Linked DNA regions of Astyanax mexicanus. The protein of the gene in region 2 purifies or fractionates together with the protein of the main gene of each other region. This does not show direct contact. Links are inferred from orthologs where the notes say so. Each region holds a gene or a part of one and is shown on either strand. Other genes may lie near its edges.

Region 1 (3,753 bases), on a different chromosome or scaffold from region 2:
AGTATTATTAACAGTGTAACTGATTTCATTAGTAAATGGGAGATGTGAAAGTGATTCAGTTGCTTGATTGGATCTGATAACACAGTGATTCACTCAGTAAACATCATTGCACTGTATTGTTCATGCAGTAGTCAAAGTGTTAAAGCAATGCATTAATAAAATGTATTTGACAACTAAGCTGTCTAAACAGTGAATTTAATTATTATTTAATGTAAAAACCATATGCATATATCCACATAATAATCTCATAGTAGTTTACCCTTAAATAAACCAGTCTACAAAAACAGTACCAGAAACAGCGTTTAATTCTAAAAAAAAGTGTTAAACTGAATTGGTGCATGAAAACAAAAATAAATATGTTACAATGGATTACAATGGATATTACGTATTTTGTGATTATTATTTCTAAATGTTTTGTTGCACATAACACTGTTTGAGAGCTGTTGTCCATCAGAATAGTTTATAAACCAATTAAACAGTATATTTTTACTGTTTAAGGATGGTTTATAAAATAAACACACACAGGCTTTCAATGCTTTCGAAATTATTAAATATTTTATTTAATTTGATTTATTTGCTATATAGATTTTATAGTAGATATTAGAGTCTTCTTTTCTGCTCACTACAGACAGAAAACAGCATTCTTAAATTTTTTGTTCATCACTGGAGATAATCCAGGTCTGAAAAGGTTCATTTAAGCGCAGATAAATTAAATAAAGACGTTTAAAATATAAAATATAGGGCCTTCCACTTTGTATATGAATCAATTGCTTGAATGAATCAATTGAGTCGGTTCATTAACCCGAACCCACTCTCCTCATCATCGCTCCATAAACGCGCTAGTGGCCCCGCCCACTTCACGCTAAGCCCCTCCTCTCCTCCACGTCACATTGGGTGGTGTGTGGCCACGTCATATCGGCCGCCGCGCTGTGATTGGTCGGTTCGGCTCACCAGACACCACGGCGCTTCGTTTTTCTTTGCAGGGCGCGTGAGGAGCTGAGAACGGGAACAGGCTTGGGAGGAAATGAGCTTTTACTTTTAGTTTTATTTCATTAAAACAACGCCTCAGTTAGAAAGTTAAAGTATGTAACCAGAAACAAACAGTAGAAAAGAGTCTGCAAATATAGGGTTTATTTTTTTCGACATTTAAAAAGAAGATCAGGAGTGAAACCGAGAAGAAATCGAGGTAAGTTTTAAAAATTATCAGCAGATTCTTTATAGAGAAACTATGGCTCATCATTTTCTGCTCACTAAAAATAACAGATGTGTTATGACTAAAGCTTCTTCTTTTTTTCTCGCTATTACCTTATATTTTGATTAGCATTATTAATCCCAAACTATTATCTTCAAATCCTCAGTTTCCTCTTCTTTTTTAACCTTATTTTGGTGAATAAAAACATCAGTAGTTGTTTAACCTCATGTTGTTGTGGTCCTAACTGGCTAAAGCTTTAATAGTTAAACGTTATTTTTCTAATTTTTCCTTTTTTTCATTGTCATTAAATCTCCACTTTCCCCGATTATACCTCATAGTATGGTCAATATAACGTTAACTAGTTTTCTCATAATTTTCATATTTTATATTTATTTATGTTAGCCATATAATCTACACCTCCCTCAGTTTTAAGTTACATCCTGTTTTGGGAGTTATCTAGTTAACCTAAGCATTAGAAGCTGATATCTCATTTTTTAAGATTTATGTTTATACTTATATAATATTTTGATCAACACATCACTAAGAGGTCTCCTTTTACGTTGAGTTTATTAAGTGTTTGGCATGTTTAAAGCTTGTGTTATTTTTCTCTCTTTAAGTCATCTGTACTTTGTGGTCTGTTATTATACTTCTTATTGTGTCTTTTCTCATTTCCACTTTGCATTTTGGTCATTAAAACTTTACATCACTATTTTTTATTTTATGTTTTGCCTTGAAAGCTTAAGTTTTCTCATTTTTACTTTGTATTCTGGTCATTAAAGCTTTTGTTCACAGATGTTTTAAATGTTATTTAACATGTATCTCCCTCTTTCTCTCGGTAGAGCCCCATGCCTAAGCTGGAGGACCGCTGCTGGAGCTGCTCTTGTTCCCCCGGTATGAAGTCGGAAGGGTTCCCGCTGGCCTCCAGGGCCCGGGAGGTGATGTCCGGGGTGGCCGGGTCTGTGAGCGAGGCTTTCGCCTCTGTCCGCCGGCTCCACTCCACCAACCTGGTCCGCCGCGGTCTGGTTCTGTTCACCGTCGGCGTTTTCCTCGCTCTGGTGCTTTACCTGCTGCAGATACGGAAAAACGTCGTGCTGTTTCCAGAAGAAGCTCTGGACACGTTATATTCCTCCTCGTGGTGGATCCCTCTGGGGTGCGGAACCGCAGCCGGTGAGTGAGAGACTGAGCTGGAGTTTATTCTATTGTTTTAAAAATTCCACCTTAAAAAGCAGCTGGTACGTTGTGTCGGGTGGGTGGAATACGTGGAGAATGTATGGGGTGAATAGGCTTTTTAAGGTGGAACGGATAGTTTGTATAGGAAGCTGTTATTGTTATTGTGTTGTATATTGAGTTGTAGAACATTAACCCACAACGTTTCTTTAGTATTTAACATTTTAGTTTAATCAGTTATTAAGCATGAATATACACATAAATGGCTAAAAATACCTTAACTTACACAAGTACCTTAAAAATTAGCCGGAGGCTAGCTTGCTTGCTAGCTCAGGTGTTTTGTTTTAAAGCCAATCAAGGCGTAAATTACTTAATTGACATCGTTAATTGACATCGTCACCCACTAATTAGTGTTAAATTAGTATAAAAATGCTTGTATGTAAAGTATAGCGTTCTACAGTGTGTTAATGTATCTCTACGCACATGTAAAGATGCTGCTTTAGGACAGCTCAGTTTGTTTTCCGACTCGCGTTCGGCAGCTGCTCTGCTCGCGTCGCTTAGCAACAGCCGGTGGGAGGAGCCAGCGCGGGTCAGTCTAGGTGTGCTGCGTTCTGATTCGCTCCTGTAGAACGGGTGAGCTGCCAGGTCGCCACGCGATTGGCCGGCGCGCTAAACATGCCACTCATCAAAGCAGAAATCTAACGTTGGCGTCACCAGGCAACGCCCGCCCGCCGCATTCCACGCATACGCAGATCTGGCGGGAAATCCAGTTCCAAAACAAAATTTTTGACTTGTCTTTTTATTTCATATTATATAATAAAGAATTGATTTATAAATCAAGCATTTATATTGGATCTGTTGTAGGTGAAGACATACATGTAAGTGAATGATAATACTTTAATTAATTAATTAATGATTTATTATTTTTAATCTTGTGTATACACTACGGCTGCACCTCAAATGGCTCCCTACTCCCTGTGTAGTGAACAATGCAGAAAACGACAGATTTGACTTGTTTAAAAGAGTTTATTAAATACAGCCATGTTTAATCATGCACCTACACAAACACACACACACTTTTCAGTAATATAATTTGTTATAATAGTACTGGAGTACAAATATCATTAAATTAGTCACTAAATTATAACCAAGCTAGGCAGAGTGTCAAATGACTCCATGCACCCTCCCTAGTGCACCATACTTAAAATAGTACACTAAATGTGATGTAAATACTCTGTCTACTGTTCTATATGGTTCTAATGGGTATATTCACTGTACGTCATTTGTATGGGGGTCTAACACCTTCTGTTTCTGTTTCCTCAGCTGTGGTTGGCTTGTTATACCCGTGCCTGGACAGCCACCTCGGTGAGCCTCACAAGTTCAAGAGGGAGTGG
Region 2 (3,753 bases):
AAATGGGAATCAGGTCACTGTCTGAAGGACAGGAATGAACCCTGTCATATCATGTAGGTCAAAGAGCAACATTACGACATCTGAACAAATAGAACCACCGTCAGACTGAAAGCCAATCATTTCAGTTTCGATCCACTGGCTAGTTTGTCTAATCAATTTTACTGATCACTAACTTTGTTTATTTGGGTTTATTCTAAATGTATAAGTGGTACAAACACACTTATTAATAAGATGCATATTTTTAAACCACTACTCATCTTTTTCAGACAAGTGCTGGAGGTGATGGCAGCGGTGAGGAACGAGGACCCTGTGGAGATGGCCAACACAATCTATCAGAACACACTGAAAGTGTTCTTCACTGGAAGCTGATATTACAGAAAGACTGGATCTAGTGTGACTCTATAACAGTATAAAATGGAACATATTTTAATAAATAAGTGAAGAAAACACTGTCTTGTCTTTTTTATATATTTAGCATTTCTACTGAAATCAATCAAGTTGTGTATATAGTGTAATTTTGCTAATAAATCATTATTTGATTTGTTTAATTTATTTTTTACCTTTATTTAACAAAGTAAAACTTGAAAAATGAGTTGGGCGATAATTTTAGAAAGATGTCAATGTTAACCATTAATTTGATTTGTTTAAGATTTTTTAAAATATATTTTAGATTCATATTTTAAGTTTGTTTAATTGATTTTTGTATATTTTCCGCATCTTTTCATTAGGTTTCGTTTCCTCCATATACTTTCGTGTGGCTCCGTTTATTTTCGTGTATTTGTATGTTTTGTGTATTTCCATTTGGCTGCATTTATTCGTATATTTTCGTTTGGCTTTGTTTATTTTTGTGCTTTTTAATATATATTTTTTGTTTGGCTCTCTTTACTTTGTGTGTTTTCATACCATTTCGTTTATTCTCGTTTATCTTCGTGTATTTCCTTTTGGTTTCGTTTATCTTCGTGTATTTCCTTTTGGTTTCGTTTATCTTCGTGTATTTCCGTTTGGCGTCGTTCCTTTTCGTTCATCTTCGTGTTTTTCCTTTTGGTTGTTACTTATTTTCGTTGATTCTCGTTCATCTTCGTGTGTTTCTGTGTATCTTCGTGTTTTTCCGTTTGGTTGTTACTTATTTTCGTTTATTCTCGTTTATCTTCGTGTGTTTCCGTGTATCTTCGTGTGTTTCCGTTTGGCTCCGTCAGCTCGGCTCGGCTGCGTTCGTCGCTGGATACGCTGTGACGTCGCGCGCTTCCGCGTTCTTCGCATAGCAACAGAGCGCGGAGGGAGCGGAGATGGCGGCCGGTGGCTGTCCGACTTAACAACAGCGGCGCGGAGAGAGAGCGCGAGACCCTGCCGGGGCAGGAGCGGCTGTACCCGGCGGCCACACCGCGGACATGGCCTCCACCGGCGGCCGGATCGGTCAGCAGGCCCTGGCGGTGCTGGAGGTGGCGCTGCGGGTGCCGTGTATCTTTATTATCGACGCCATTTTTAACTCTTACCACGACCCGGGAGCGGGCTGGGCCGGGACCGCGGGCCGTGTTCTAGGCCGAGTGCTGGGTAAGCTCAGGCGGACACCCCGCTGATTACATACCGTCGGCTGCTGCGGGTTCCTCCGGCAGGGCGGAGCGGACAGCGAGGCTCCGCGGGGCAGAGGAGCGCAGGGCCTACCTGCTACCGGGTAAAGCCGGTTTAGCTGCCAGAGCTCCGGTTCTTGGGGTCTGGTTAGGCTGTCAGAGCTCCGGCGGACAGGCTGGAGTCACAGCGGGGGCTCGTTGGGTGTTTTAGTGGGTTTGAGTTTGACAGGCAGCGCAGAGAGAGAGGCCCTAGCCTTTAGCCTGCCCCCTTTAACCCTGTTCAGCTCAGCTCAGCTCAGTTAGATAACCTATAGCTAACCCCAGATATAATAGAGGCCATTCATTGTATTGTGGACAGGTGTTTGTGCACCAATGTGGGAATATATATATAGATACCAAACATTAAAACACACATTGAATTATTTAGTAAACATTTCCTCAGTCAGGTTTATGAGGAAGAGTCACCTGGATTTTTAAGTTTTTTAGTCAACAGCTGTGCTGAACTCATCAAAAGTTAATTACTTGAATGTATTGCCTTTAAACTACCTTAATGTTAAGGTTTGAGATCATCAGTTGTAAAGTTGTGAAGAGGTAGAGTTGGTATACAGTGAGTAATGTTCTAAACCAAAATACCACCTAAAAGTAATTCACAGGAACATATGCAAGCAAACTAGGGGTGAAAAATATGAACAAAAATGCAGTTACCTCTGTTGGAGTTCCTGATGTCAGTGTAAAGCACAATAAAATAATGCTTTTGACATGTTCTGCAAATTCCAATAGACCTGCTGCAAAATTACTTTTATTTTGTAGCCCATGACGTTCCAAGAAAAGTATGTTTTTATCCAACATTAACAGTGGCTATGTTCACATTACCAGGCTGAAGTGACTTAAATAAGATTTTTTTCTCAGTGTGGCTCAGATCTTTTTTTTTTTTTTTTTTTTTTTTTGTAGCTGTTTGAGCAAGCCAAATCAGATTTTTTTTCCCCCAAATCAGGTTTGAGTCACTTTCATATGTGGTCCTAAATCAGATGCACTTCTGGCATATGCGTCATGAATGTGAACGGTCAAATCAAAATTTATGCGTTTTTTGCATTCATGCATGCATGCTTCTCTCTCGTACCCACACATCTCTTGGTGCAGCTGTGCAGCTATAGCTGCAAAAACAGCAAAAGCAAACCACCTGACCTTTTTTCACCTCCTTGACCTGAGCATGAACTTCAGACCAGCTGTTTGCTCTTAAGTGGCCATTCCAAACCTGTATAGAGATGTGAAACACAGTGTAGCAATTAACTAAGTTACATTAAACGATATTAAAAGAAGAATGTAACTGTTAAGTCTATATAATATAAACACTATTATTTTAATAATGTAAGTTTGAGTGTTCCTTGTATAGTTACAACATTTTATATTTAAACTACAATTTTTATTGTAACCGAAATTAACCAAATTAATACATTTTGAATCGGGTCTAATCGAACTGGGAAATCAGTGACAATACCCACACCTAGTGGTTTCATTTTATTCCAGAGCTGTATGTTTGGTGTTTAATACATTTTAGTCTGGTTAGTTTTCGGTTCAAACTGCAGTTTATTGAAAAGACTAAAGAACTGGTGGGCTGTATCTTCCTATATTTCACACCTAATTTGTTGTAGAATATGAATCATGAATCTATGTCAGACCAAACTGATAAGTCTACAGCTCCAGTAGATGTGAAAGCACCCTTGGTTTGCCAACTAGACAAGTCCGTTTAATTTGGTGTGTAACAGTTTATCATTATAGAACAATATACACTGTATTGCCAAAAGTATTCACTCTCCATAGCAAATAATTCAGTCCAGGTTCCAAGTACTTCCACAGGTCCACAGGTGATTAATGAAAGCAGCATATAGTCATGCAGACTGCTTCTACAAACATAAGTGAAAGAATGGATCTCAGGCACTCAGGAGCTCAGTTAACTCCAGCATTGTGGTACAGTAATAGGATGGTGCAACAAGTCAAACTTCATGTAGCTTCAGAGTTCATCATCACTACACACCCCCAAACTTCATGTAGCTTCAGAGTTCATCATCACTACACACCTCCAAACTTCATGTAGCTTCAGAGTTCATCACTCACTACACACCCCCAAACTTCATGTAGCTTCAGAGTTCATCACTACACACCTCCAAACTTCATGTAGCTTCAG

What was found. The genes of interacting proteins can lie anywhere in the genome.
Region 1: the proteins of rnf139 (region 2) and insig1 purify together in Homo sapiens (affinity purification with western blotting, with the first as the bait; 3 studies listed by BioGRID). This does not show direct contact. The link is inferred for Astyanax mexicanus from reciprocal best matches to the Homo sapiens genes RNF139 and INSIG1.

Annotation. Positions count from the first base shown.
Region 1 is NC_064415.1:58,135,270-58,139,022, reverse strand, and holds the start of insig1 (insulin-induced gene 1 protein), read left to right. Parts: upstream 1-962; 5' UTR 963-1,186; intron 1,187-2,031; 5' UTR 2,032-2,037; coding exon 2,038-2,359; intron 2,360-3,682; coding exon 3,683-3,753. UniProt on the Homo sapiens protein: Oxysterol-binding protein that mediates feedback control of cholesterol synthesis by controlling both endoplasmic reticulum to Golgi transport of SCAP and degradation of HMGCR.
Region 2 is NC_064409.1:74,244,662-74,248,414, forward strand, and holds the start of rnf139 (E3 ubiquitin-protein ligase RNF139), read left to right. Parts: upstream 1-1,222; 5' UTR 1,223-1,388; coding exon 1,389-1,551; intron 1,552-3,753. Other genes in the region: deoxyribonuclease TATDN1, read left to right, coding at 1-53, 267-369. UniProt on the Homo sapiens protein: E3-ubiquitin ligase; acts as a negative regulator of cell proliferation through mechanisms involving G2/M arrest and cell death.